Anolis sagrei: one gene and its partners. The protein of the gene in region 1 binds, or shares a complex with, the protein of each later gene. Links are inferred from orthologs where the notes say so. Each region holds a gene or a part of one and is shown on either strand. Other genes may lie near its edges.

What was found.
Region 2: CMC1 (region 1) and TIMM21 share a complex: the UniProt entries of both Homo sapiens proteins name them as parts of the MITRAC (mitochondrial translation regulation assembly intermediate of cytochrome c oxidase complex) complex. The link is inferred for Anolis sagrei from reciprocal best matches to the Homo sapiens genes CMC1 and TIMM21.
Region 3: CMC1 (region 1) and SMIM20 share a complex: the UniProt entries of both Homo sapiens proteins name them as parts of the MITRAC (mitochondrial translation regulation assembly intermediate of cytochrome c oxidase complex) complex. The link is inferred for Anolis sagrei from reciprocal best matches to the Homo sapiens genes CMC1 and SMIM20.

Annotation. Positions count from the first base shown.
Region 1 is NC_090026.1:83,825,541-83,835,774, forward strand, and holds the start of CMC1 (COX assembly mitochondrial protein homolog), read right to left. Parts: upstream 5,006-10,234; 5' UTR 4,946-5,005; coding exon 4,900-4,945; intron 1-4,899. UniProt on the Homo sapiens protein: Component of the MITRAC (mitochondrial translation regulation assembly intermediate of cytochrome c oxidase complex) complex, that regulates cytochrome c oxidase assembly.
Region 2 is NC_090024.1:72,468,413-72,479,642, forward strand, and holds the start of TIMM21 (mitochondrial import inner membrane translocase subunit Tim21), read left to right. Parts: upstream 1-5,982; 5' UTR 5,983-6,192; coding exon 6,193-6,490; intron 6,491-8,276; coding exon 8,277-8,339; intron 8,340-8,450; coding exon 8,451-8,548; intron 8,549-11,230. UniProt on the Homo sapiens protein: Participates in the translocation of transit peptide-containing proteins across the mitochondrial inner membrane.
Region 3 is NC_090025.1:112,997,853-113,008,190, reverse strand, and holds the start of SMIM20 (small integral membrane protein 20), read right to left. Parts: upstream 5,311-10,338; 5' UTR 5,229-5,310; coding exon 5,120-5,228; intron 1-5,119. Other genes in the region: SEL1L3 (protein sel-1 homolog 3), read left to right, coding at 9,120-9,305.

The DNA of each region.
Region 1 (10,234 bases):
CAGAATAACCAGTAGACATGCATATAAATAAATAACCATAAAATGGTGTTTCTGTCTGCATGTATAGTAGTTTCATCTGACCACTTTTAACAATAGCCATTTCAGAATAATCAAGAATTCTTGAGAGACAGTAAAATTCTAGTATTCCCATTCTTAGGTAAGGAATCCTTCATTAGTCCATATCCCGGACAGTTGGAATCCTTGGAATATAACTTCCTTTCATGATCTTAGCCAATAAGAAGAGGTATTGCTTCAGACATGGCACATTTTACTTTTATATGAGCTTTAAAATTAAAATCAGGATCAGACCTAGAAGTAACAGCCAACTGACATACTGTAGATCTTTTATTGACTGCATCCTAATTTTGGCAACCCACACTTGTTAAAATATATAATTACACATTTAGTAACATCTGAGTTTCAAAATTATCTTCAGAGCAGCCAAATGTAGAATCCATCAATATTATATAATAAACTGAACATTATCGAGATATGGATCTTGCAGAAAAGATTCCAATAATTAAAGAATTGGTGAAGTCTACACAATGAAAAATTCACAGCTGGCATTTTTGGCTATAGTTGCTGCGTAAGATTCCAGGAATAAAGCAGCACCAAAGGAGAATGGAAGGGATCTTGTGCCTTGGCTGCACACTACCTTGGTTTATCCACAAGTAAAAGATTGTGGCTTTATAAAGATTTTTAGAAGACAAGCATTCGTCTTTAAACATTAGCAAGCATTTTGATTTTAAAAATATTTTTTGAAGGAACCAATTTTTTTTTTTGTTCTTTTAAAGATACATATGCAAGCATTACTGCCACATTCATTGCAACCTCAGAGATACACAGAACAGCAAAAATGGAGTGGCAATGGCAGTCACTTAAGGAGTTTAACATTGCCAAAGCCAAACACACTGCTTTTTCAGAACATCTTGCAGCTAGAAAGAATGGTCCCAAGAGTAAGGTCTCCGACATTCATATATCAGTCATACACTTACTAGTCACAGGTGAGAATGTGCCTTAACTGAACCTGGCAGTATAGAGCTCCTCAAAACTCAAGAAGTGTTTTTATAGGACAGGTGAAAACACAAAACAGAAGATTGGCCTCCCTCTGTATGACACTATGGGGTGTGGTGCAGTGGGTAGGACAAAACAAATAAACATGGGAGCTAAGTGATGAACATAAAACATGTATCTGGAATCAGGATGAAAGGACTGCAGCCAAGACTGCCACTATATGGTTGAACAGACAGAAGGTAAGCTTTAAGAATTGAAAGTAGACCACAGGATGAACACTTTTCTCCATTCTCAAGTGGCAATTTCTATAGCCTATGTTAGCTGTGATAAAAACGCGTGTCAGCACTCACTTTAGCGAAGAGTAACACTAGCCAGGCATTGCTATTTATCGGTGTTTTGAATCCAGTTACAAGCACTATTTAAATGTTAAGTTGCAATTAAATGTAGAACTGACTAGAATTGCATATATTAAGAGCGGCTTTGGGTTTGTGGCAACTTCATTCAGATTCTTTAAACTATAATCAATATATTCCCAAACTATGACTAAAATACTGAGATGGAGTGCTTAAATAAACTGGGAATGTAGTAGTTTATCGGGATCTGAAAACTGCTGGTTGATATATATCAAGAGATTCAACTGTGAAAAAAACCCTGCCTTCACTTGTACAGTACATTACTGCCATTCTCCGTGACATTATTTTTGGTCACTGAAAATAAATCCATATTTTTTCCCATAATTCCATAGATTACCAAGCCTAGACTTTATAGTTCAATAGATCAATTTAAGGACCAAACTATATTCAATGATAACTCTGTGAATGGAATGAAAAAAAAGCAGTGAAGGAAGGGAAAATGGAACTGCAAAGGACAGTGAAGATGTTAATTCCCTTTGCTTTTTTATTTCAGGCGCGAATAGAGAAATTGTAAGTCACTCTTTGTGTGGAAGAACTGGCCGTCTGGAAGGTCGTTGCCCAGGGGATGCCTGAATGTTTTACCATCTTGTGGGAGGCTTCTCTCATATCCCCATATGAGAAGCTGGAGCTGACAGATGGGAGCTCACCCTGCTCCTCAGATTCAAACTATGTACCTTTCGGTCAGCAGTCCTGCCTGCACAAGGGTTTAATCCAATGTACCACCAGGGGCTCCTATTCCCTTTGCTGTGACCTGGTAAAAAAAGCTTCCCCAAAGCTGCTGCTTGTAAAAGGAGCGATCCCTTCCCTGACACCAATCGAGACTTCTCTTCCTATATAGACAGTAGCTTCAGGGATCTTAATCACAGCCAAAGGCAAGACCCTATAGTAACAACCATTTCACAGTCCCATGAAAAAATACTGTAAATAAACAAGCACTTGAATTGGGGAATATAAGAAAATGCCATGGATCTCTAGAGAGAAACAATGTGGTGATTTGAGCATTGTACTATGACTCTTAGGTCCCATCTACACTGCCATATAAAATCTGCTTTGAACTGAATTATATTAGTCTACACTGCCATATAATCCAGTTCCAAACAGATAATTTGGATTTTATATGGCAGTGTAGATGGGGCTACAGAGACCAAGGTGTGAATCCTTATTAAGTTACGGAAAGCCACTGAGTGACCTTGGGCAATCAAACTCTCTCAATGCAACATGGCTTCCTATGTTCCTGTGTCCATTTGGCTACCTATGACATACACTTTAAATACAGGTTGAACGTCCCTTCTCCCAAACGTCAAAATCCAAAATACTATAAAAGACTAACCCTCCACTTGTGTTGCCTGAGTGATACCTTTGCTTTTGATGGTTTAAAGAACACAAATCAAAAAGTATTTAAAATATTGTATAAAACAGCCTCATGGCTATGTGTATAAAGCAGGGGTCCTCAAACTAAGGCCCGGGGGCAGAATACGGCCCTCCAAGGTCATTACCCAGCCCTCACTCAGGGTCAACCTAAGTCTGAAATGACTTGAAAGCACAAAACAACAACAACAACGCTATCTCACCAGCCAAAAGCTGGCCCACACAACCCATTGAAATACTAATAAGTTTATATTTGTTAAAATTGTTCTTCATTTTCATTATTGTATTTTAAGTGTTTTTGCACTACAAATAAGATATGTGCAGTGTGCATAGGAATTCATTCATTTTTTTCAAATTATAATCCGGCCCTCCAACAGCCTTGGGGACTGTGACCTGGCCCTCTGATTAAAATGTTTGTTGAGCCCTGGTATAAAGTGTATATGAAACATAAATGATTTTTGTGTAGACTTAGGTCCCATCTCCAAGATATCTCAATTTTGAAATCCAAAATAGTTTTGGTCCCAAACATTTTGAATAAGGAGTATTCAACCTGTAAAACAAGGAGCTGTGTTTTTCTGATAACTAGCTCCAAAACCAAACAAATAAAACTTCCAAGAACCATGTATTTCTTAATAAATCTAACTAGCAACTCTACATAGCAGAAAGGGAACACTAACTAGCAACTCTACACAGGAAGAAGGGAAATACATTCCCAATTGCCTTAATGAGCAGGAGGGTATATCTGAGCTAGCTCTCAATACAAATGGCTGTGAAACCAGCTTCTCCAGAGTATAATCCTAGTAAAGGTCAAGGTTTCCCCTGACATTAAGTCTAATCATGTCCAACTGTGGCGGGTGGTGCTCATCTCCATTTCTAAGCTGAAGTCAACATTGTCCATAGACACCTCCAAGATCATGTGGCCAGCATGACTGCATGGAGTGTTGTTACCTTCCTGCAGTACCTATTGATCTACTCACATTTGCTTGTTTTCAAACTGCTAGGTTGGCAGAAGCTGGGCCTAACAGCCGGAGCTCACCCCACTCCCCGGATTCTATTTTGCCTTCCTGGAAAAAACTTCCAAGCAGCATTTAACTTAACTTCAAACTTACAACTTTATAAGATAATATGGTATATAGCGTTCCTCTTAATGATATGTGCAGCATATTAACAGTCTTAAGAATTCCGTCATAATTATTACTGAGCAATTTTTCTCCTACTATTCACTCATTCTGGGAGCCCCCCGTGATGCAGTTGGTTAAACCACTGAGCTGCTGAGCTTGTTGAGTGAAAGGTCGCAGGTTTGAATCCAGGGAGTGGCATGACCTTCCGCTCTCAGCCCCAGCTTCTGCCAACCTAGCAATTCGAAACATGCAAATGTGCGTAGATCAATAGATGGGAAGGTAAGGGTGCACCATGTCCATAGATACGTCCGAGGTCATGTGGCTGGCATGACTGCATGGAGCGCCGTTATCTTCCCACGGTACCTAGTGATCTACTTACATTTGCATGTTTTCAAAATGCTTGTTTGGCAGAAGCTGGGCCTAACAGCTCAACCCGCTCCCTGGATTCAAACCGCCAATGGTTCGGTCAGCAAGTTCAGCAGCTCAGTGGTTTAACCCGCTGTGGCACTGGGGAGTCCCTTAATCCTTGGGAGCATCTATACCTAGGGTGCATTTATACCAGCCATAGGCAAACTTGGGCCTTCCAGGTGTTTTGGACTTCAACTCCCACAATTCCTAACAGTCGGTTGGCTGTGAGGAATTGTGGGAGTTGAAGTCCAAACCACCTGGAGGACCCAAGTTAGCCCATGCCTGATCTGTGCTCTGAAATGAATGCAGCTTGGCAGCCCTTTAACTGTCAGTGGCCCATTCTATGGAATAATGGGATTTGTAGTTTGATTAGTCACTAGTACGCTTTGTCAGAGGAGGCGAAAAGCCATAGCATTGAGCCATGTCAGTTAAAGCTGTGACAAAGTGGATTAATTCTACAGAGGAGATGCACCCCCAGGAATCTCCATTTGAGAAGAGTCAGTTTACAGACAGGGAAAGGGAGATTCCTTCAGCCCAGCCCTTCCGCCCAACAAGTTACTCAAAAGCGCTCGCACTTCTGGGACGTTCTCCGTCTCCGCTCTCTCCTCGCGTGTCCACCATTTCCGGCTAGGCTACAGCGCATGCTCAGTACGTCCCGCCCCCGTTGTCATCACTAGAGCAGGGCGAAGAAAGGACTGCCTTCTCAATCAGACGGTGCTTCTGCGCCTGCGCAGGAACTGAATTGCCAACTCCAATCTCGTTAGTTGCCCGCCTTCAAGTCTGTTTTCAAAGGATTTCCAGGGCAAGATTTGTTCAGAGAAAGCTAAGTCTTGCCTTTGCCTTCCCTTTTGTGTCTTGAGAGGATAAGATATTTTCCAAAGTCATCTAGACCTAGTCTACAGAGTCATGAGGTGCATCTACACTGTAGAATCAATGCAGTTTGACACCACTTCAACTGTCATGGCTCAGTGCAATGGACTCCTGGAATGTGTAGTTTTGTGAAGGACCAGCACTCTGGCAGAAAAGATAAAAGGCCTTGTAAAGTGACATGATTCCATTGCATCGAGCTGTGCCAGTTAAAGCGGTGTCATTAAATAATAATAATAATACTCCTGACCTCACAATCATGTTAAAAAACAAAGTATGGACTGTTGATGTTGCAATTCCAGGTGACAGCAGGATTGAAGAGAAACAACTGGAAAAGCTGACACAATATGAGGATTTAAAGATTGAACTGCAAAGAGTCTGGCACTAGCCAGTCAAGGTGGTCCCAGTGGTGATCGGCACAATGAGTGCAGTGCTAAAGACCTTGGCCTGTACTTAAACACAATCAGTGCTGACAAGATTACCATCTGCCAGCTGCAGAAGGCCACCTTACTGAGATCTGCATGCATTATTTGCCGATCCATCACACAGTCCTAGACACTTGGGAAGTGTTCGACGTGTGATCCAATACAATAGCCAGCAGAGTGATCTTGTCTGCTGTGAATTCGTTGTGTTTCAAATAATAATAATCATAATAACAACTACTACTACTACTTTATTTTTGTTCCCCGCCTCCATCTTCTCAAAAGAACTCGGGGCAGCTTACATGGGGACAAGCCTGAATTTCAACATGGTTAAAATAACAACAAAATTCATAAAAACATTTCAAACAATTTTAAACCACAACAAAATGCATTATATAGCAAACATCTGGTAACCTTCAATGATCTGAATAGTGCACAGTACTGAACCGGCTGTTAGGAATTGTGGGAGTTGAAATCCCAAACACCTGGAGCGCTGAAGTTTGTCCATGCCTTCAGATGCACCTTTGTATCTGTGCTTAACTCAGAATGATCATGCATTCCACATTTCAGTAAGAGGGACGTAATAGTCATGTTCAGCAAATTCTGGCAGGATCAGATTATGTCCACAGAAAATAATTGCCTAAAACAGCTCCATATCCTCCAAATTTATTTTACAGATGGAAACAGAGGCCTGCAAACAATATGTGTGACTTGGCAACAAGAAGGCAAAATGTACTACAGGTTCCATATTTTATTTGCATATTTGTACATAATGAAGTATCTTAGAGGTGTGACCCAAGTCTGAACACAAAATTCATTTATGGTTCATAGTCATATATCCTGGAATGTGTGTATATATATATATACACACACACATAAAAACATTTTGAAACTCTATAGAGGCTACTTGAAAAATTCTTTCAAAATGCACCCAAATATTTCTTCTTCTTCTTTCAGCAGCTCCCACTTTTCTTTTGATCTTCATTTGAACTGGTTAAACAAATCATTTTATGGTCTGTCAAAGGCTTTCATGGCCGAAACCACTAGGTTGTTGTGTGTGCTTTCCGGGCTGTATGGCCATGTTCCAGAACATGTTTCTGGAACATGGCCATACAGCCCGGAAAACACACAACAACCCAGTTTTATCGTTCTTTAACATTATGGGGGGGGGGGGGGGTGAGGCAGTCTTCTCTGCTTTTCCTTTTCTTTCTGTTTTGCTGTTCTGTAGATTCTGGACAGTTGCTGATTATCTTGCCTGTTGCTGGCAGGCACACACAACTACAGGTGCATCAGAAAGAGCAGAATATTCTTCCCACCTCAAGGTTTTCCTACATAGTTTACTGAAAACATGCTTATGCAACATGACACTGAAAATCTGTATTTATCCTGCTCTTTTTCAGCATCTTCACAATACTGCTCCTTCCAGATAGAGAGGAAAAGGGGTAGGCGTAAAAAGGAACTTCTCTGTCAGAAGCTTTGTTACATATGCAGGATGTCACATTTAGTAAGGAGTAAGCCAGCGAAAGCCAATAATCCAAAACCAAGAAGTGTAAGCCTATGCCAAGATTCAGGAAGTGTAAGCCTATGCCAAGATTCAAAGTCCAAGAAGCTGAAGTCAAGCTGGTGAAGCAACAGAGTCAAGTCAGGAACAAACAGAAGTCAAGGTCACAGTTCAGATACAGTAATACCGGTAGTCTGAAAAGCAGAGGAGTCAGGTTCCAAGCCAAGAAACAAAGTCATTAGCCAAGGTCACAATCCAGAGTCAAGAATGTCAGTAGTCAGAAAAGCAGTAGGGTCAGGTTTCAATACAAGGGTAAAAATGAAGCCAAGGTCAGAGTCAAGAAGTCAGAAATACCATTTGTCAGAGTCCAGAAGTAAAATGCCAGAAATTCTGTCAGAGTTCATTTATTCTGGTAATCTAGATTGGTGAATCGAGGCCTAATGAGGCCTAGCAGCCACCTGTAGAGTGCTGATTCATCATCCAGCCAGCAGGTGGGGACCGATGTTCTTAGGGAAGGAACAAAATTGTTTCTTACTTCCAGATAAGAAACAACCAGGGCCAGCTAATCACCACCCAATAAAGAATTCCGCCAGGCAGGAAGCAGCCAAGCCTTGAAGCTGCAGACAAATCAAAATAATGGACGGTAACAACAGAAACCTTATAACAAAGAAATTAAGTATCAAAATAAAATAAAAACAAGAAATATCCATTAAGACATAAAAACTAAAACATAAATAAACATTACAATGTACACCCACACAAATTATAAGATATTACATTGAAACGGCTGACAACGGTGTTTCATTTAAAATATATCATAACAACCGCCTAATACACGTAGATTAGCCAGCAATCCTAATCCTCCTCCTCTCCAAACGCTAAAGTGTATAGGTGAGTTTTTTTCTTAAAGGAGACAAGGGTAGGGCTGTTTTTATTTCTTTAGAGAGGGAGTTCCAGAGACGGGGAGCAAAGAGAGGGAGTTCCAGAGACGGGGAGCGATCACAGAAAAGGCCCCCTCTCTCATTCCCACCAACCTAGCTTGTGATAGGGATGGGACTGAGAGGAGAGCCTCCTCTGTAGATTGCAATGCACATGATAGTCTATACTGGGAGATGCGATTTGACAAATAGCCTGGACCTGAACTGTTTATTCATGATATGTGTCCTTCGGATCAACAATTTCCTACTGTGACGTCGACTTGAATGACAAGACAATCCTCAGGAGAGTAATTGCCCACTCTCTCAGGAAAGAGAGTGGGCAGTTACTCTGCTCCCCCGTCCTTTGTCACCAGTCGGTCCTGTTGACATCACTGAAAGTGACGATTGACTGTGAGGATGCATATCATGTCTGGAGACTGCTACCCGGATCCACGTTGCGCCTGGAAAAAAGGAAGGTATGTAAAGGGTGGCCATCTGGCGCACCAATCCATATTCAGTATTACTGGGCAGTCAGGACTCCCTCCCACTTCTGCAGTAGCCAGGGGAGAGGTGGTTGTGTAAACCATCCCAGATTGGCCACTATGATAATGGGTCAATGTAGATCTGCCACTAGTATGGAAGGGCCACTGAATGGAATGGGACTTACTTGAAGCAATAGTGTGTGTAGATACTCTGTGAAAACCGGTCTGTTAAAAAAGGGGTTACTTCCTGGATCAACAGACAGAAACGAAGAATGAATTTAGAAATCAGACTTCTTCTAGACGAGAATCTTTTTCTAGTGCATGTGTGAAGAAAACTTTTGGAAGTGCTTGAGGTCTCTGAGAAGTGCAGTACGTCAATGACAGCAGATATATTTCCTGTGTACAGAATGTGCCTGCTCACAAATAGCTCCACCTTGCAGCCATTTTTATGTTTGTCTACCATTCATATTGTCATTTGATCAACTAATCACCCATTTCCTCAAGTGCGAATGTGTTTTTACACTTCAACCAAGACAGTGTTAACTATGAAACTATAGATAGAAATAGAGATTAATTATCTATTTCTGAAGTCCCCACACCTTCCACTGCTGAAATAAAGGCAAATTGTAATCTGTTGAAAGGTGTGGTTAAGAAAAAATTAAAACATTGATTCTGGACTCCAAGATGAACAAAACACAGTCCAATAACACCTTTTCAAAACATAAAGTGTATTTAACTTTTCCCCCAAGCATTTTTCTGTGAAATGCATTCAACACTAATGAAAGTGAGGAGACTTTCAATATGAAGCAAAAGTAAGTGGAGTTTAATAGCATTAAAAAGTTAAGGGATTGTTAGAAGACAGTGGCAGTTTCCTAGGACAGAGAGATATTATTTTTCCCAGGAAAGTGTGGGGTTTGCATTCAGGGTGGGGACCCAATCCTTGGAAGAACTGGGATTTAATTTCTCAGTTCCTCCTGGGATTTAGTCATGTCTGGAAGGGCCCTCAGGCAGCAGAGAAAATTATAGTTACCCCTCCACATTTGTATTTTTTACTTTTTCAGATTTGATTGTTTACAGATTTGATGTTAAATGTTTTTCTACGCATCTCTAGATCCTTGAGGACCTAGAGATTGCTAGACATAACACCTCTCATGGAATCTAGATTATCTAATGCAATTCTATAGTCAGCTTCCATCAGATGGTGACCACAGAGTCATGCTGGAAGACCTAGGAATTCCTAGGGGAAAGTTATCACAGATTTTAATAAAGGAACAAAAGTGACATCTAAAAATGGAGTGGTCATTTTGTGTCAGGACAACAAACCTAAAGGGAAAAAACATGCTACTTTAGGTAACCAAGATTCTTCCAGTGAAGGAAAGGAAAGACAGTATCCAAGGCACATATCTTGGAAGATGATTGTTAGCAAGGTTCACAATCAACTTCAAGATCTGAGCTGGAGGATGGTAAATTATCTGATATTTACAAAAGTGACAGTAGCTCTCATGGCTCATTGGTGGCAACAATAAGCCATTTATATCCATAATTGGATGATGCACTGACCAGATTTGCTTCTCTCCCATAGGTTGTCAGAAACATTAAGTCTATGCTCTCCTTACTTTCCAGGCATGTTTTTCTGGTGAATCGTGGGCGAAGCCACCTTGTGCCAATGCAGTGCTTTCAACATCTTGGAGCTGTGATTGATAGATTACTGGGGATTTTTT
Region 2 (11,230 bases), on another chromosome or scaffold:
TCCACAGTGCTCTCTGGATGTAAGTGAACTACAACTCCCAAACTCAAGGTCAATGCCCACCAAACCCTTCCAGTATTTTCTGTTGCTCATGGGAGTTCTGTGTGCCAAGTTTGGTTCAATTCCATCGTTGATGGAGTTGAACTATAAATCCCAGAAACTACAACTCACAAATGACAAAATTATATATATTTTTGAGTGATGTCTCACAACACTTCTTGTGTTGTGAGACATTTTGTTGCCAAATTTGGTGTGATTTCGTTCATTGGTTCTTTTGTTTTTAAGGAACTCATTATGCACAGAGCATTTATATATATATATAGAGAGAGAGAGAAAGAGATTGTACTATACCATTAGATTGTAATATTATTAGTAATATTATATGTAATATAAATATATAATTATTATATCATATTAGTAGTAGTATAAACCATCAAGCACTTTAAGGTCTTCCGGAGAGGCCCTGCTCTCGGTCCCACCACCATCGCAGTCGCACTTGGTGGAGATGAGAGACAGGGCCTTCTCTGTGGTGGCCCCCCGGCTATGGAACTCTCTCCCCAGCGAGATTAGGTCTGCCCCCTCCCCAGTGAGTTTGCCTCTGAGGCTGAGAGAATGTGACTTGCAATGCTTTTCCATGGCTGAGTGGGATTCGAATCTGGATCTTCAGAGTCTTTGGGAGCATCAATGCTACAGAAGGAATTCAGTTTGACATCACTTTACATTGCCATGGCTCAATGTTATGATTCTCAATGTTATGGAATGGTGGTATACAGGTCTTTAGGCTTCTACGCCAAAGAGTGCTCAGGCCTTGTCAAACTACAAGTTCCCATGTTTTCACAGCATTGAGTCATGGAGGTCAAAGTAGCGTCAAACTGCACTCATTCTGTGGTGTAGATCAGGCATGGGCAAACTTTGGCCCTCCTGGTGCTTTGGGCCCCTTCCACATAGCTGAATAAAATCCCACATTTTCTGCATTGAACTGGATTATATGGCAGTGTGGACTCAGATAACCCAATTCAAAGCAGTTATTGTGGGATTTTCTGCCTTGATATTCTGCGTTATATGGCTGTGTTGAAGGACCCTTGGACTCCACCCACCCCCCCCCCCCCACACACACACTTCCTAACAGCTGGTTTGTGTCCTATCACACTAATAAACAGGGTCAGTGAGCATGAGGCAGGACCTTCTCTGTTGTGGCACCTTCATAATGGAACTATAGTCAGACCTCCTCATTTGCAGGCTTGACTTTTGTGGATTTTATTATTCACAGGTTTGAGTAAGGCCATATAAAATCTAGATTATCTGCTTTGGACTGGATTATATGGCAGTGCAGACACACAATCCAAAGCATATAATGTGGATTATCTGCGTGGATAATCAGGACTGTAAGGTTTGCCTAAGTCCTCCAGTGTGATTCTATGGTCAACTTCTGCCAGAAATTGAATGTAGTGGATTATCTCCATCTCAACACTGACAAAGGGAGTGTGTCCCAGGTGGTGCTTCTAGACCTCTCAGCGGTCTTCGATACGATCAACCATGGTATCCCTTCTGGAACGCCTGGCGGGAATGGGAATCAGTGATACTGTGTTGCACTGGTTCTGGTCGTACCTCTCAGGCAGGTTCCGGATGATGGTGCTTGGGGATAGCTGCTCCCCAAAAAAGGACAATTGAAACCACCCAATGAACATGGGTAAATCTGAAGTCACATACTCTCAGCATCAAAAGAAGGCAAAAGCAAATTCCCTCTGAACAAATCTGGATAATACAACCGCATGATACATTCACCTAGGGGTTATAGTGAGTCAGAAATGACATGACAGCACACCACAACATGTTGAGTGGCCATCTCAAGCAGCAATCTGGTGTTGCAAAAAGGTAGTGAGTGAATTACGAAGATTTTTAATTTGTTGTTTTATATTTTTACTGCCAGGGATGATTAAAAAAGTACGTGAAGATTTTTTTATTGCATGAGCCAGAATAACCTGGCATCATTTATCACTTTGCCTCTAGCAGCAACATGTGTTTGACCAGCCCTGATGGGCAAAAAAGCACATAAGATAGATGTTAAACATTCTGGATCACACTTCATGGGAGATATGTGGTACACATTTTAAATATATATCTGTACTTAACATTTATTAAGCAAATTGACTTCTAGTGTTAGGACCTTATAAATTTAATGATAGCTGCTAGGGTTGTCAGTGCTAAATGTTTCAAAGACTACGTGTTTATACATAATTAAATTTGCTTAAGGGTAATTCCAGCTGCATCCTCAGATGCACGATGCGACATTCAAACTTCAAATATATATGTAGTTACATAGTTGTGGGAGTGGGATATAAGTGCAATGGGATACAACAACTGTATTAGGAACATAAATCATAAACCTTCCAAGGGCTTTAAACTGGTTTAGCACAAATATCTCAGCATCTGTTATTAGTGCACAATATGGTTGGCAAGTAACTAGCGTCAAAGCATTTTCTTTCCAGAAGTTTTTTTTTTTTGCTTAATGCATAATCTTATTTTAAAGAACAGGCTATACACACAGCCATAGTCAAAATTAACTATAAATGTAATGTAAGAAACAATCTTCAGACCTTTTGTATATAAAATGAGATTTGTTAAAGTCTCCCAATTTTTTTCAGATCTTCCCTCCAGATTCATTTGCTACACAATAATATCAAAATCTCTGACAAAACTGCAAAGTGTTCTAAAGTTGGTTTTTGTATGTATGTATGTATGTATGTATGTATGAATTGTATGTATGTATTTAGAATATATATATTCCACCTTTCTCACCCCAAAGGGGACTCAGAGTGGATCACAGAATATATGTAAGGCAAACATTCAATGCAGTTTATACAATGTCAAGACAGACAACTGTACATTTGTTGCTGTCCGTTCAGTCACTTCCAACTCTTTCTGAGCTCATGGACCAGCCCAAGTCAGAGCTCCCTGTCAGCTGTTGCCATCCCCAGCTCCTTCAAGGACAAACCAGTCACTTCAAGGATACCATCTTGCCCTTGGTCTGCCCCTCTTCATTTTTTCCTTCCATTTTCCCCAGCATCATTATTTTCTCCAAGCTTTCCTGTCTTCTCATTATGTGGCCAACGTACTTCATCTTTACCTTTAATATCCTTCCCTCCAGTGAGCACTCAGGTATTATTTCCTGGGGTATGGACTGGTTTGATCTTCTTGTGGTCCAAGGCACTCTCAGAATTTTCCTGCAACAACACAGTTCAAAAACAACTGCACATAGATAGAGGTATATATAGAATTTCCCATCTTTGGCATCTCGAAGGTTGTGCTCAGTTCTGGCCACGAGGGGTGCTGTCGCTCCATCATCCCTACTGAAAAGCTTTTGTTCATAAACTTCCTCCTTGATTGAATTGCCAGGATTTTTCTAGCATTTACTTACATATACCTAAATACCTCCATGCTTTTAAAGCAGCATCTATTTATCTACTCTCAATTGCTGCTTACAATCTGCTAGGTTGGTAGGAGCTGGGCTGAAGGCCAGGAGCTCACCCTGAACCAGGCATTGAACTGCCAACCTTCTGAATAGCCAGATTTACTGCAGCTGGTGGTAAAGTTGCTGGGCTAATATGTTTAGGATGGAGAAGAGAAGCCCAAAGATGCATCAACACTGTAGAAATAATGCAGTTTGACACTATACATTAACTGCAATGGCTTAGTGCTATGAAACGCTGGAACCTGTACTTTAGTGAACTATTAATACTCTGGAAGAGAAGTCTAGAGACCTTATAAAACTAAAGTTCCTGAGTCCATGGCACTGAACCACGGCAATTAAAGTGGTATCAGACTGAATTATTCTACAGCATGGAAGTGACCAATCTTTAATATCTTACAGTTGGGATTTTATTATTTTAGATGCACTATGATTCTATGATGTTAGGTATTTATTTATTTATTGTGTCATCATGATGTTAGGTGTGTCAAGATGATTTTCTTCAATAGGATGTGTCTTACTTTCCCTACATGTGATGAAGTATTTGTATTTCCTGTTCCTACTCCCACAATATGCCACTGCGTGTATGTCTGGATATTGTACCACCTCTTGAAGAAACAGACTGCAGCCCACAAAAGTACACCATAAAATAAACCAAATAATCTTATGAGTGTCACAAGTTCTCTCTTTCTCTCTGTGATTATGGGTTGGGTATCTTTTATTTGCTATTCCAAAATATGAAACATTCCTGATTCTGAAAACATCCACATAGTATCAACTTTGCTTTCTAGTGGTTCAATGTATAAAAACTTTGTTTCATGCAGTTATTAAAAATATTGTGTATAATGTTTCCGGCTATATGTATATGGTATATATGAAACTATACATTATGTATTTAGACTTGGATCCTATCTCCATGATATCTCATTATGTGTGTACATATAAATACAGATGTTCGCAATTCAGGGGGGGGGGGGGGGGATATGAAAGCTCCAACATTTGTGAGTCCCTTCAGGGAGAGAGGGCAGGTTAAAAATAAACTATTATTATTATTATTATTATTATTATTATTGCCCTAAACATTCCAAATAAATAATATTTAACCTGTATTGTGACAAACTAATAGCTCTTTGAAAATACAGCAATGTCTGTTGGCCTTTGTTCCCTTTTCTTGTTATTGCCTTAATAATAATAATAATAATAATTTATTTATACCCCGCCACCATCTCCCCAAGGGGACTCGAGGCAGCTTACATGAGGCCACGCCCAACAATACAGTAAAACAATATAACACAAGAACACAACAACAACAAAAAGAAAAGAAAATTGCATAAGATACAAAACCAATATAAATAAACAGAATAGCAATATAAAATCCGAGCATTAAAACACAGAATATTGATCACGGTGGGCATCGCCTTGTTATTGCTGGACTCCTTGTGTGAAGTACACCAATGCTGTAAACATCCAATGTACAATTGCCACATGCTAGTGAAATGTTCAATAAGTAATCTATATAAATAAAAATGTAATGTTCGTTGGTGGGACTAACATAACTCAAAAACCACTGGGCAAATTGACACCAAACTTGGACACAATACACCTATCAGGCCAATGAGTAACCATTACTCATAAAAACAATGAAAACTAGACTTTAAAAGCCAAAAAATACACTACAATGCATGCACATAACCACATTGTTCCCCTGACATTAAGTCCAGTTGTGTCCGACTCGGGGGGGGGGGGGGTGGTGGTGCTCATCTCTATTTCTAAGCCCAAGAGCTGGCATTGTCCATAGACGATGTGGCTGGCATGACTAAATGGAGCACCATTACCTTCCTGCCGGAGAGGTACCTATTGATCTACTCACATTTGCATGTTTTCGAATTGCTATGTTGGCAGAAGCTGGGGCTAACAGCGGGAGCTCATGCCGCTCCCTGGATTTGAACCTCCGACCTTTCGGTTACCAAGTTTAACAGCTCAGCAGTTTTACCCACTGCACCACTGGGAGATTCAGCGTAACCACATGTGTATTTATGCATAACCACATAAATACACATATACACAAATATATACACACACAAAACACATATACACAGACTGGGCCACAGCAACGCGTGGCAAGGGACGGCTAGTAAAGATATAAAATGGCAAAAGCGGGGGGGGGGGCAGAGATGTCTGTCTATTCAGCGGGCAGGCTATAATAAAAGTCTAAATAAATTTTACAAAGCCTAAAGTGCAAGTAATGATCTCATATAAGCAGCACAGCATGAGAACCTTCCTTTTTCCTCAGTATTAAACACAAGAGTTATGTTGTGTATATCCTTAGGCTTAAAAAGAAGTGTTTTTTTCCTGCAGAAGGCGCACTCTCTGCTTAGACTTCCTTCCTGGAGGAAAGGATTAGCCAGGGAGAGACTGAAAGAAAAATCCTTGCAATGCTTTTGAAGAGCCGATGGCCCTTTGCATCATGGTAGTTGTAGTTCCCTTTAAGAGGCTACCCAATCAACAAATCGGTGTGTCCAGCAAACTACATGTCCCAGAAACGCTTGCAAAGAAACACAATGGCGGGGTAGATTGCAAAAGCTGCTTTTACTTTTGATCAAAGTGCAGCAGGAAATATAACCCCTCTTTCTCTCGTTAAGTCCGGGACAATGTTTTCAATCTTTGGCATCGGAGGGGAGAGGAGTTTGGGTGTCATCTAAGGGTAATATTTATTCAAGGCAGCCATGCCCCCCTTCGCAGTCTTTTCCTCCTTTCTGCGGGGAATGCACTGCAATGACAAGGTGCTGGGGAAGTGGTTGCACTTGCAGCATAGGAAAGCGCGTGAAAGGACTTTGGGGTGCTTCAGGCTCGGGGCAAGCCCAGGGGAGTATATTTTGCACCCTAGAGTAGCCTCTGGGGGGCTACCACGAAAGGTGTGGACGCCAGCAGGGGCCTTGAGGGCTGGGAAAGGCCAAAACAGCTCCCAGGTCCCTGTGCAAAGAAGCCAGAAAGGAGGGACCTCTCTCTCAGCTGCTCAGAAAGGTAAGAGATGCCTATGGCTGTCAACCAAAGTTAGGCAATGAAGGCTGAAATGCTTCTGTCCTCTTACCTGGAAATAAACCTGAGTATTGCTTTCAGTTGATATGAATGGGGTGCATCGTGCCATAACTTTGGTGCATCCCCTTCCAAGGAGTGCATCTGCACTGCAGAATTAATGCACTTTAGTGCCACTTTAACTGCCAGGGCTCAATGCTATGGAATCTAGGGAGTTGCAGTATGGTGACACACCATGCTTTGGCAGAAAAGGCTAGGGCCTTATCAAACTTTTGTTGTTCATTCAGTCGTTTCCGACTCTTCGTGACCTCATGGACCAACCCACGCCAGAGCTCCCTGTCGGCCGTTACCACCCCCAGCTCCTTCAAGGTCAAGCCAGTCACTTCAAGGATCCCACCCATACATCTTGCCCTTGTTCAGCCCCTCTTCCTTTTTCCTTCCATATTCCCCAGCATAATTGAATTCTCTAAGCTTTCCTTTCTTCTCATGATGTGGCCAAAATACTTCATCTTTACCTCTACTATCAAACTTATCTACTTATCAAACTACGAGTCCCCAAATTCCATAGATTAAGCCATGGTACTTAATGTGGTGCCAAACCGCATTAATTCTATAGTACAGGTGCACCTTTGCTGTCAATTGAGCTGTGGTATCCTGCAAGATGTAGTTTTGCAAGGACTTTTGCCTTCTCTCCCCCAAGCATGCTGGATCCTCATCAAACTACAATTATTATACCATTGTATCGAGCCACAGCAATTAAAGTGGTACCAAAACGGCATTAATTCCACAGTGGAAGGAGGTGAATTTACAGATATGCTGTCCAAAGTTATGGTCTGAATGCCTGTCAGCCAAAATAGGTTTTTAATGTGGTACACAAAGAAAGCATATAAAGTATGACCTCCATACAACTGACATCAAAAAGCCGCACAACTGCACTTTGTACAGTTTAAAACTACTTGACAGAGTGCAAAAATATTCTGACACTTAGAGTCCTTCCACACAGTCATATAACACAGAATATCAAGGCAGATAATCCACAATATCTGCCTTGAACTGGATTAGCTGAGTCCACACTACCATATAATCCAGTTCAATGTGGATTTTATACAGCTGTGTGGAAGGGGCCTTAGTCTGTCTTTACACACTATAGAATTAATGCACTTCACTGTAGCATTAATGCAGTTTGAGCCCACTTTAAGTGCCATAGCTCAATGGGAAGTTATAGTTTGATGAGGCATTAACACTCTTGGACAGAGAAGGTGAAAGATCTAGTTGCCATGATTCCATAGCATTAAGCCATGACAGTTAAAGTGATGCCATTCTGCATTGATTCGACAGTGTAGATGTACCCTTAGGGACCATCCAGACACGCTCTATATCCCAGGATCTGATCCCAGGTTTTCTGTTTATCCCAGATTATTTGGCAGTGTGGACTCATATAATCCAGTTTAAAAGAGAAATCCTGGGATCAAATCTTGGTATATAGTGCCTGTATGGAAGGGCCCCAGATTATATGAGTCCCAACTGCTAGATAATCTGGGATAAACAGAAAACCTTGGATCAGATACTGGGGTATATTACCTATCTGGAAGGGCCTCAGATGAGAAGGAATAGGCCAACTTCACACTTTTTGAGGTTGCTGAGACATGTAAAGTAATTTCCATTGTTTTTGAAACAAAAGCTGCTACTTTCATATCTTTACCAAATTAGAGGAAACCACTAGGAGCATGCTGTGTTACCTGATATTGTATAACTTTTCTTTTTTTTCTTCTAGTGAAAGAAGCTGGAAGAGATTTCACCTACTTGATAGTGGTGGTAGTCGGGATTGGTGTCACAGGTTGTTGAAACTGGATGAAAACATTTTCCCAACTTACAAATGTTTTAAGTTTTGGCCATTTAAGTACACAAATTCTTGTGTCATTTACATTTTATTTCCCCTCTGTTTCAGGTGGTTTATTCTATGTGATTTTTAAAGAGTTGTTCTCTTCTTCCAGTCCTAGTAAAATCTATGGAGATGCCTTGGAGAAATGCAGAGCTCACCCTGAGGTTGGTTTGCCTGTTTTTATGAAGGAGTGTTTCTCTCTGAAAGAGTGCCCCTTTATGTGAAAGGAAGCTTTGCCTTCTAGAACTCTTTAAATGTGGGAATGAGTGGCTAAAGGTCTGTTTTTTGTTCTGCCAAAACAGGAGAACTAAATCTGGATTTTCTTAGCAATTTTTAAAATGTTATCACTACTGGAACCTGTCCTAGTAGTTAGGGAAAGTAGTTGCTTTGCAAAACAGCTACTAAAAGGAGACATATAGAAGGATCAATTTATACTATCTGAAACTGGAATTTTACATTTCACAGTATATTCCCTTTGCTAGGTAAAGCTACTTAATTAAGCTTTTATTTACTTAAAAAAACATAATCTATGCTATATAATTCATCAGACCTTATTTTCCATTGATAAAGGAGTCTGAATTTCACATAAGGTGCTGGAATTTATATTTTTGGAAAATGGAGAATCAGGTTCCTGCTTTTTTTCCCCTCCCTCCCTAGCCCCTCCTACACTACCATATAAAATCCAGATTATCTGCTTTAAACAGGATTATATGGCAGTGTAGACTCAGGGGCCTTCTACACTGCCATATAATCCATATTATCAAAGCAGATAATCCACATTATATGCTTTCTATTGGACTATATGAGTCTACACTTCCATAGAGCCCCGGTGGCGCAGCGGATTAAACCACTGAGCTGCTGAACTTGCTGACCAAAAGGTTGGCAGTTCAAATCCAGGGAGCGAAGTGAGCTCCTGCTGTTAGCCCCAGCTTCTGCCAACCTAGCAGTTCGAAAACATGCAAATGTGAGTAGATCAATAGGTACCGCTTCTGCAGGAAGGTAACGGCGCTCCATGTAGTCATGCCAGCCACAGGTGTCTACGGACAATGCCGGCTCTTCGGCTTAGAAATTGATAAGAACACCACCCTCCAGAGTCGAACACAAGTAGACTTAATGTCTGGGGAAAACCTTTACCTTTACCTACACTGAGTATAACCCAGTTCAAAGCAGATAATCTGGATTTTATAAGGGAGTGTAGAAGGTGCCTCATATAATCCAGCTCAAAGCAGATAATGTGAATCAACTGCTTTGATAGTCTGGATAGCAGTATAGAAGGGGCCCCCAAATCCCTGGGATTATTCTAGATCAAATTTAAGACCATCACATCACTCACTATAGTCTCATTTCAATACCTGCAGACTCCTCTTCCACCGCAAATAATCATGTAAATACATTTCTTCAACATCAAATCTCTTCTTTTATCTCTCTCTCTCTCTATTTTCAAATATATCTTCTTGTCTGATTAAGTGATCGGCAAATCTCAGAAGCTTTTGCATGTTTGTGGTTAGCATTACACTAATAGGGATTATAGAATTACACTAATAGGATATTATGTTAATAGGGATTTTAGAATTTTCTTTATTCGTTCTGTTGTCATGGATATTCCCAGAGATACTTGGCAGTATCCTTGATGAAAGAACAAGAGGCAAGACAGAAGTAGCATCAAAATACTGGGCAGGGAAGATCAGTTTACCCTGATTATCTAGCTTTAGTAATTTTTCAAGTGTGCTGTATTAATGGGAAAATCTTCCCATATCACCCCAGATGCCAAATAATCTCCTGCCTCAGACTCCGTGTTCAAATACATGTTAGGATGTACGTGTTAGTCTGGGTACCCATTCTTCACAGGACACCTGTTAGCCCCGATGGATGGTGGTTGCTCTGCACTATTGGACATTTTATGACCTATTGGAATTAAGTGCACCATAACCTTATTGAAAAGGTAAAAATGATGTCACATTCGTTTGGCAAATGTGAATCTCCGTGAACATAGAGACCACCTTTTGAAAACCACTAGTCAAGTAAAGCATGACCTTGTTAGAAGTCAGCCCTATGCAGAAGTAATATTCATAAACATTAATGTAATGGCACACAGGTAACTCGGCTGTTTAACTGAAGAACCATGTCTTTAAACTGTCAAGGATAAAGACATGCCACTATAAAAATATATTTGGTTAGCAGAGAATGGTTGTTTCTTTGAAGTAGAATTGCCCTTGAAACCTCTTAGTTAAAATATGCACTCAGAGATAAAAACAAAGAAATCGTCTTTTAAAACAACATCTCAAGTTTACTAACAAGCTTCTTGTTATGTTCAGCATACTAGTCCATAGGCCAGTGTCTTTAAGCATATAGATATAGTTCAAACTGTATAACCGTACTCACTGAAGTCTGAAAGGAGACAAACTGCATTGACCTCCATTGAAGTCTAAAGGCATATTGTACTAAAGTCCAAAGAGCAACATGCATGCACCTCCATTGAGGTCTGATGCAAACTGAATACAAAATGGAGTCCTGTGTCTGAAGCCTCTCCCACACCAAAAAGGTACAGTCAAACTGGCAAACCAAAATGTACACACAATATAGGTTAACAGTTACACATATTTACAAACAGTTAGTAAAGGATTTGGAAGGTTGCTATTTCCAACTTGCACAAACTGAGAATGGACCCTATAACATATTTAGAATATTTTGGAAAATATGACTCTGGACAAGTTGTTTGGGAAGTTTCTATTGGGATAAATGGATCACAACCTATTGGGGATTATGGTTTATGACCTGTTGGGATCATAACCTATGGGGTAGCAGAGTCATGGAGGTGTTCCTTCAGTTTATTGAGTAATGGATGA
Region 3 (10,338 bases), on another chromosome or scaffold:
TGAAATACATACAAGACACACGACAACATCAAGTAAAAATGCTTATACAATAATATAATAAAATAAGATAGTAACAATAACATAATAAAACAGAGTATAAAAAACAATACAGACGTTTAGACAAGGACGAGCTAGGCCAAGTTCAAGGAGTGAAAAATTTTAAAACCCATGGGTGAGGTAAATAAATAAAGTGCTGTATTTATACAGAGACTCAGGTGGGATAAACAATGAGGTTATTATCAACTGAGGAATGGGATAAAGTGCATCAGAAAACCAACTGACACTGAGACAGGACCTGACATGGGAATTAATTATTCATTCTTCAAAATCACATTCCTCCAAATACCCCTACTTTCCCATTCTTTAAAGCAGTGGTTCCCAACCTGTGGTCTGTGGACCACCAGTGGTCCACAAGAACGAAAATGTGGTCCGCAGCCTCACCATTACTACACTGTTTCCTCGAAATCACACGGCAACAACAGCAACTGGTCTCACAAAACAGTCTTATAGTGGCAAGGCAACGGGGATGTCAGGAGGAGAGAGGCTGACTACCCATGAAAGATTACTACTACCACATCAGCTCTAGATTATTAAATATGGTTTTCTGTGGGCGAGCAGATGGTGACTACTGGATGGCATATGTTCTGTATCAGAAACTAGAGCTGATGTGGTCTATCCAATGCAATTTTCTGAATCAGCACCCCAAATAACCAAGCCGAATCTAAAGTTGACCAAAAATGGATTCGTAACCCTTTTGGTACTAATGTTGGAGAGTGTTCCCTGGTCAAAGTGGTCTTTGGTCAAGTAGTCTCAAGTGGTCAAAAAAAGGTTGGGAACCACTGCTTTAAAGTGACTGGAATCTTTTTCTTCCCCAACATGTTGCAAAAGCCTGTTCTTAAAGAGAGTTCACAGCTTTGTATAGATTTCAGGTCTTTCCAAATTTCTTTCCACAACTCACATCATCTTTTGTTTTCTCACTTGGATTTCTCTTTCTTCTAGGCTTTGGGGTGAGGGTGAAGCATTGCAATGCATTTCACGGCAGAACATACCACATCACATTTTTATATGTTCTGAAAGTGCTAAGAACAGATTGAGCTCCCTCTGTTGGCATTAGAAAAGAAGGCATAGGTCACAACAGTTGTATATCCATCCTTTTAAAAAAGGGATCCAAAAGGAAGGAGAAGACAGCGAGTCATGGAAATGGGGAAAGTCTGATGAGTTTTGTTTGGAACTGTTCATCATTTCCAAATTGGGGGAACGGAAGCAATTTAAAAGAAAAATTGGTCTATTCTGCAGAAAGAAAGTAACATGTATCTGTTTCTCATATTTGATTATGATATATGAGTATACTCGCAGCAAAAGGAACATTTGTTGTTGTGTACCTTAAATAAAGCAACCTTATCACTAGGTTTCCAGGAGCTGAGCAGAGCATCAGACATCAGGGTGCATCTACACCAGGCATGGGCAAACTTTGGCCCTCCAAGTATTTTGGACTTCAACTCACACAATTCCTAACAGCCTGTTAGGAATTGTGGGAGTTGAAGTCCAAAATACCTGGAAGGCCCAAGTTTGCCCATTCCCGATTTACACTGTAGAAATAATGCAGTTTGTCACCACTTTCATTGTCATACCTGAATGCTATGGAATCATGGGATTTGTAGTTTGGGGTGGCTTATTCTCAAATAGCATCCCTAAAATCCTGATTTTCCCCGACATACAGTTTGTATTATTCAAAAAGCCAACTTCTACACTGCCATATAAAATCCAGATTATCTGCTTTGATAATCTGGATTATAAAGCAGTGTAGAAAGAGCCACAGAGAGTGAAGCTAGGTCTAAAATTTCAGCTTGTAGGTTTTCTGACAATACGGTCAATGTCATTTTTTGACAGTTAATGCTGTCTCAATGCATGCTCTTTCTATGCTCATTATCTATTAAAAAAGGCTCTTTTTCAAAAACAAAAACCAAGTATTCTAAGTAGCCAGGAAGATATCAGGAAAAATCATGGGAATGAAAAATGTGAGATTGCTATGCTCAAACCTGACAATGCCAGTTTTTGCTAATGAATACAATTTGTGCTTGATAAAGTTAAGTAATAAAATAGAACAACTATCACATGGGCAGTAGTCATATTCGAGGCACAATTGATTTGAGTCATCTGCATCGAATTCAGGGTAATATAAGTGTCCAACTTCATGTACAGTATTTGGTGAGACTATGCGGGAATATCCTGTCAACTGACATTAATTTTCTTGCAGCTGATTATATTTTTTATTATTACTCATACAAAACATTGACTTATATATGAAAGTAATCGTTGTGTTTTGGACTTTTTTTTCAGATTTCTTGCTATATTCAAATGCTGAACAAAAATATATTTTGATATATTTTGTATAGCTTGCAATGTTAAAAGAACACTGAGGCTGAGTCTACACTACACTATATCCCAGGATCCGATTCCAGATTGTCTGCAATGAACTGGATTATATGAGTTTACAATACCAGATAATCTGGGATAAGAAAATAATCTGTGATCAGATCCTGGAATATAGAACAGTGTAAATCCAGCCTATGCCCCCCCCCCCCCCCCCAGACAGGCCCTATATTCCAGGAGCTGATCCCAGGTTTTCTGTTTATCCCACATTATCTGGCAGTGGGGACTCGTATAATCCAGTTTAAAGTAGAAAACCTGGGATCAGATCTTGGGGTATAGGCCTGTCTGGAAGGTCAGTAAGATGAGTGGCGTGTTTGGAATGGAAGTTATTTCACTTTTCTGTGTTCATGCACTCGCTAGTGAACTCCATGCTCTATATCAGAGAGTCTTCCCCCTCTCCACTGCCACCTGTTGACCACTGTGTACATTTTGATTTTAGTTTTTAAAATTTGTATGGCACAATATATATTGATATACTGTGTATGAGGCCTGCTAGAACCATAAGAAATGCAAAATACTCACTGGTAAGAACTCATTCTCAAATTGCCCGCCTGTGGGGTGTGTGCCTCATGTTGGGAACCAGGACACTAGGGGCCCTTCCACTCAGAATATCAAGGCAGAAAATGCCACAATATCTGCTTCGATCTGGATTATCTGAGGAATTGTGGGAATTGAAGTCCAAAACACCAGGAGGGGCCAAGTTTGCCCATGCCTGGGTTACACCCTTTCCCCTTTCACATGTTAACCATTCACAGATGGGCGACTTCCATCTTATTTTACAGTGGTCCGGTGGCACAGTGGGTTAAACCGCTGAGCTGCTGAACTTGCTGATCGAAAGGTCGCAGGTTCAAATTCAGGGAGCGGGGTGAGCTCCCACTATCAGCCCCAGCTTCTGCCAACCTAACAGTTCAAAAGCATGCAAATGTTAGTAGATCAATAGGTACCGCTCCGGTGGGAAGGTAACTGTGCTCCATGTGTGGGATTTCTGGGAGTTGGAAGTCCAAAACACCCGAAAGACCAAAGGTTGGGAACCACTGCTCTATATCTTCTGCAATGAAGATGGGTACCTTCAGTTCCAATGGGCCAACCACTTTCTATGTCATTTTCTTTTTTAAAAAATATTCTATACTAAAATAATTTTGATTATTAGTCCTAATGTTGTCATGATAATTCTCTTCAAAATCATAGGTGGCCGAGTTGGTAAGATATCCTTTATATGAAGGAAGGATTAGTATATGTAAGAACCCCAGTATTGTTCATTGACTGTCTTAAATTTGATGGTATCTTTTCAGATCGGCAGTACGCATTATAGCTGAGCTTCTATTATTATTGTTGTTGTTGTTGTTGTTATTATTATTATTTAAAACTTGTGTATCCCGATCTTCTCTACCTCCATAGAGGGACTCAGACTGGCTAATAGCAAGGATTGAATGCTAACAATACAATCTAAAACATTGTACAATAAATTAAAATACATATAGACTAAAATACATAAAAGACAGTTCGGCAAGATAAAATCACGTCCCACTCAGTCTGCATATGTGGTCGATAACTTTAATCAATTGCCAGTCTCCGCCATCATTCTGAGAATGCCTCGTTCCATAGCCAGGATTTCACTAGCCTCCTGAAGGTCAGGAGGGAGGGGACAGATCTGATCTCAATCAGGAGAGAGTTCCATAGCTAGGGGGCCACCACAGAAAAGGCCCTGTCTCTTGTCTCCAACAGACGCGATTGCGAGGGTGGTGGGACCGAGAGCAGGGCCCCTCCAGGACATCTTAACAGCCTTGATGGTTCTTGTCTTAGTTTTTAATTAGTTTTAATCAGTTTGTCTTTTAATCGTTACATGTAGCCCACCCATTGTCACTGTGCCTGTGTCTATTGTAATTTTTTATATTGTTATGTATCCACATATTTTATGTAATTATGATGTTACTGTTTATTGTTCGCATTTTCGGTTGTGTCTTGGGTTTTCTTTATTGTAATTGTTGTTCGGGCCTGGCCTCATGTAAGCCGCTCTGAGTCCCAATCGGGGAGATGGTGGCGGGGTATAAATAAAGTTTATTATTATTTATTATAGGGGAGGATATGTTGGGATAAGTAAACTGGGCTGGAACCGTATAGGGTTCTACTAATTCACATTTTACTACACCCAAACACTATATGGCTGACCGAAAGATCGCAGGTTCAAATCTGGGGAGTGGCATGACCTCCTGCTGTTAGCCCCAGCTTTTGCCAACCTAGCAGTTTGAAAACGTGTAAATGTGAGTAGATCAATAGGTATTGCTCCAACGGGAAGGTTATGGCACTCCATGCAGTCATGCCAGCCACATGACCTTGGGGGTGTCTACAGACAACGCCGGCTCTTCGAGATGAGCAGCAACCCCCAGAGTTGGACACGACTGGACTTCATGTCAGAGGAAAACCTTTACCTAATTCCCACAGGATGACATTGCTGATCACATGGGCATGCACATTGGCCCTTCCTTCCTTTGTGGGCCTGAAGCCTGGAAGCTGGGCTGGCTTAGTGTTTCCTAAGCCTTGACCTTCCTGATGTTTTGGACTGCAGCTCCCATCATCCAGGCTGGCTGAGGCTCCTGGGAGGGGGCGTCCAAAGCAGAGGGCTCTGGAGCATCCTAGGGGAGCTTTGCCTAAGGCAGGATCAGTTCAGGGGGAGGAGAGGACTTACTGTAGTCCTCCAGGTGCATCAGGGGCCGGAAGTAGATGGGGTACAGGGCCGCCCCCACCAGGCCCACGAAGCCCCCGAAGACCAGGAGGGTGCGAGGCAGGCGCGCCATCCACGCAAGAAGAAGCTTCTGCAAAGAGCCCGCACGACTCCACAGGAGCCTTCTTTCCGCTTCCGGGACAGGAAGAGTTTGGATGTAAGCACCTCCCTGCAACGCCCCCTCGTGGCCGCAAAGGGGAACAACCCATGCTTCACTGTCAGCTGAACAGATTCACTTCCTCATTTGGCCAACATCTTCTACGTCAGTGTTTCTCAGCCTGGGGGGTCGCCAAAGAGCATAAGAAAACACTGTATTTTCTGTTGGTCATGGGGGTTCTGTGTGGGAAGTTTGACCCAATTCTATCATCGGTGGAGTTCAGAATGTTCTGTGATTGTAGGTAAACTATAAATCCCAGCAACTACAACTCCCAAATGTCTATTTTCCCCAGACTCAACCAGTGTTCACATTTGGGCATATTGAGTATTCGTGCCAAGTTTGGTCCAGATCCATCATTGTTTGAGTCCACAGTGCTCTCTGGATGTAGGTGAACTACAATTCCCAAACTCAAGGTCAATGCCCACCAAACCCTTCAAGTATTTTCTGTTGATCGTGAGAGATCTGTGTGCCAAGTTTGGTTCAGTTCCATCATTGGTGGGGTTCAGAATGTTCTTTGATAGTAGGTGAATTATAAATCCTAGCAACTACAACTCCCAAATGTCTATTTTCGCCAGACTCCACCAGTGCTCACATTTGGGCATATTGAGTATTCGAGACGTTTGGTCCAAATCTATCATTGTTTCAGTCCACAGTTGTCCCTCGATGTAGGTGAACTACAACTCCCAAACTCAAGGTCAATGCCCACTAAACCCTTCAAGTATTTTCTGTTGATCATGAGAGATCTGTGTGCCAAGTTTGGTTCAGTTCCATCATTGGTGGGGTTCAGAATACTCTTTGATTGTAGGTGAACTATAAATCCCAGCAACGACAACTCCCGAATGTCTATTTTCCCCAAATTCCACCAGTGCTCACATTTGGGCATATTGAGTATTCATGCCAAGTTTGGTCCAGATCCATCATTGTTTGAGTCCACAGTGCTCTTTGGATGGAGGTGAACTACAAGTCCCAAACTCAAGGTCAATGCCCACCAAACCCTTCAAGTATTTTCTGTTGATCGTGAGAGATCTGTGTGCCAAGTTTGGTTCAATTCCATCATTGGTGGGGTTCAGAATGCTCTTTGATTGTAAGTTAACTATAAACGCCAGCAACTATAACTCCCAAATGACAAAATCAACCCCCCAGTAGTCAAATTTGGGAGCATTGGGTGTTTGTGCCAAATTTGGGCCAGTGAATAAAACTACATCCTGCATATCAGATATTTACATTACAATTCACAACGGTAGCAAAATTACAGTTATGAAGTAGCAACGAAAACAATGTTATGGTTGGGGTCACCACAACATCAGGAACTGTACTAAGGGGTCGCAGCATTAGGAAAGTTGAGAACCATTGTTCTACATTGTTGTTGTTCATTGCTGTTCCTCACTACTTTATATAATATTTTTTGAGAAAGAGCCATGTTGGATTAGGTTGAATGCTTATCATTGAATCATAGAATGATTGACTTGGAAGAAACCTCATGGGCCATCTAACCCCCTGCCAAGAAGCAGGAAAATCACATTCAAAGCACCCCTGACAGATGGCCATCCAGCCTCTGTTTAAAAGCCTCCAAAGAAGGAGCCTCCACAACACTCTGGGGCAGAGAGTTCCACTGCTGAACAGCTCTCACAGTCAGGAAGTTCTTCCTAATGTTTAGATGGAATCTCCTTTCCTGTAGCTTGAAGCCATTGTTTCATGCACTGGTTTGTAGTGAATTAATTTGATAGTGGATTTATTTCATGCCTTCTTGGAAGGCACGCAATAAATCCACTATTTCCAGGTCTGGACTGCAGAATACTGCAGTCCAGACAGTATTCCCACAGTTTACGGGGCTAGAACAGCCAACTGGGATCCAATTGCCAACCTGTCTTATTTTCTTTCTGGGGAAAATCTACACTCAGACCCCTTCTACACTGTAATATAAAATCCAGATTAACTCATTTGAACTGGATTATATGAGTCTTCACTACCATATAATCCAGTTCAAATTAGTTAATCTGGATTTTATATTACAGTGTAGAAGGGGCCTGAGTGTAGATTTTGAAATCCACAAGTATGTCAACAGAAAGGAGGAAACCAGGATAATGAACAAAATCTGGCTACAAGCCCTCTACAATCAGGACAGTAAATAAAGGGCAACACTAAAAAAAACCCAGTGGAATTCTAGACAGGGAGAAGTTGGGTCCAAGTAACATCTTCCAACAAAGGATCCTCCAGGTAGCAACCAGCCAGGCTTTGAAGCTACAAGGCCATTCAGTGTTAATCAAGCTGGCCAATTCAACATTCACACTTGCCTCAAGCAGACAATAGTACTTACTCCCATCCTGGGCATCGTTCTACAGATATATAAACTTCACCTGCCTAGTTTCCAACAGACCTCACAACCTCTGAGAATGCCTGCCATAGATGTGGGTGAAATGTCAGGAGAGAATGCTTCTGGAACATGGCCATACAGCCTGGAAAACTCACAGCAACCCAGTGATGCCAGCCAGGAGTTTTAAGATAGTGACTAGTATCTATTTGTGTGCTTTTGTTTTTGTCTTTTATTTTTGATATGGTCAGTGGACTACTCAATAAATAGATCTATCTATAGCAGTGTTTCTCAGCCTGGGGGTCGGGACCCCTGAAGGGGTTGCGAAGGGATGTCAGAGGGGTCGCCAAAGACCATCAGAAAACACAGTATTTTCTGGTGGTCATGGGGATTCCATGTGGGAAGTTTGAGCCAATTCTATCGTTGGTGGAGTTCAGAATGTTCTTTGATTGTAATGAACTATAAATCCCAGCAACTACAACTCCCAAAAGTCAAGGTCTATTTTCCTCAAGCTCCACCAGTGTTCACATTTGCGCATATTGACTATTTGTGCTAAGTTTGGTCCAGATCCACCATTGAGTGAGTCCACAGTGCTCTCTGGATATAGGTGAACTACAACTCCCAAACTCAAGGTCAACACCCACCAAACCCTTCCAGTGTTTTCTGTTGGTCGAGAGCGTTCTGTGTGTCAAGTTTGGTTCAATTCCACCATTGGTAGGGTTCAGAATGCTTCAAATCCATCACTGGTGGAGTTCAGAATGCTCTTTGATTATAGGTGAACTATAAATCCCAGCAACTACAACTCCCAAATTACAAAATCAATCCTCCCCCAACCCCAGTAGCATTTACATGTGGTTGCATTGGGTATTTGTGCCAAATTTGGTCCAGTGAATGAAAATACATCTTGCATATCAGATATTTGCATTATGATTTATAACAGTAGTAAAATGACTGTTATGAAGTAGCAACGAAAACAATTTTACGGTTGGGGGTCACCACAACATGAGGGACTGTATTAAGGGGTCACAGCATTAGGAAGGTTGAGAACCACTGATCTATAGAATCATGGGAGCTGTAGTTTTACTTAGTCTCTTCTCCCAAAGAGTTCTGGAGCCTCCCCAAACTGCAAAGCCATGCTTCCAGAGAGCCATGGCAATGAAAGCATGAATTCTGCCTGTCCTGGATAAGAGGCACCCAACTTTGTCCTTTCAGGGTGAAGAAATAGGCACAGCCAGGAGGGGATCAAAGGGAGGAAGAAGAGAGCTTAGGTGGTGAATTCTGGTTCAAAAAGAAACCATCAAGTCTGCAGGAAAGGTGTGTTTCAGGTGTAGGACTGGCTGAAGTCTTGGAAAGGCACCTTTCCAAGAATAAGCGCCAGAGGCGCAAGAAAAACAGATCCTGAGCCGGGGAGTGCTTTCGGGTGCCTGTGGCTGCACCTGCCTAGTCTGGGCGGCCCTTCCTGCTTCCTTCTCCTCCTCCTCCTCGTCCTGGGAGGCATGTCCAGGAAGCAGGATCTCCTTCCTCCTCCGTGGCCGGATTTCCAGGGAGGAGACGCGGTGGGCACCGCGATGGAGAGCTTTGCGCCCTCACCTGTGCCTTCCCCTGCGCGCTTTGGAAGCAGCCACAACCTGGGCTTCATCTCCCTCCCCAAACGTTGCCTGCTGCTGCTCTTGCTGCTGCTGGTGAGTCGCATCTGGGGTTGCCCCCCTTCATATTCACGGGGTGCCCACCCTACATGTGTTTGGCAGGATGGGGTCCGGGTGCCATTCCCTGGTTGCCACCAGAAGCAGCCAAACGGGCTCCCCAAGCACTTGGCTGAGCCCCAAAGCCCCTGAGCTCACATTCCTTCCACAAGCCTCATCCATTCTTTCACTATTATTTAGGGGCCCTTCCACACAGCCCTCTATCCCAGAATATCAAGGCAGAAAATCCCACATTATCTGAGTGTGGACAATTATTATTATTATTATTATTAATGATAACAACAACAATAATAATAGCAGAAACCCCAGGAGCTACCCAATCCAACTCCTTTCTGCCATGCAGGAAAAGCACAATCAAAGCACCCCAGACAGATGACCATCCAGACTTTTTAGTAGTAGTAGTAGTAGCAGCAGCAGCAGCAGCAGCAGCAGAAACCCCAGGGGCTACCCAATCCAACTCCTTTCTGTCATGCAGGAAAAGCACAATCAAAGCACCCCAGACAGATGACCATCCAGACTTTTTAGTAGTAGTAGTAGTAGTAGTAGTAGTAGTAATAGCAGAAACACCAGGAGCTACCCAATCCAACTCCTTTCTGCCATGCAAGAAAAGTACAATCAAAGCACCCCAGACAGATGACCATCCAGACTTTTTAGTAGTAGTAGTAGTAGTAGTAGTAATAGCAGAAACCCCGGGAGCTACCCAATCCAACTCCTTTCTGCCATGCAAGAAAAGCACAATCAAAGCACCCCAGACAGATGACCATCCAGACTTTTTAGTAGTAGTAGTAGTAGTAATAGCAGAAACCCCAGGAGCTACCCAATCCAACTCCTTTCTGCCATGCAAGAAAAGCACAATGAAAGCACCCCAGACAGATGACCACCCAGACTTTTTAATAGTAGTAGTAGCAGAAACCCCAGGGGCTATCCAATTCAACCCCCTTCTGCCGTGCAGGAAAAGCACAATCAAAGCACCCCAGACCTTTTAGTAGACTAGGACACAGAACGATGGCTT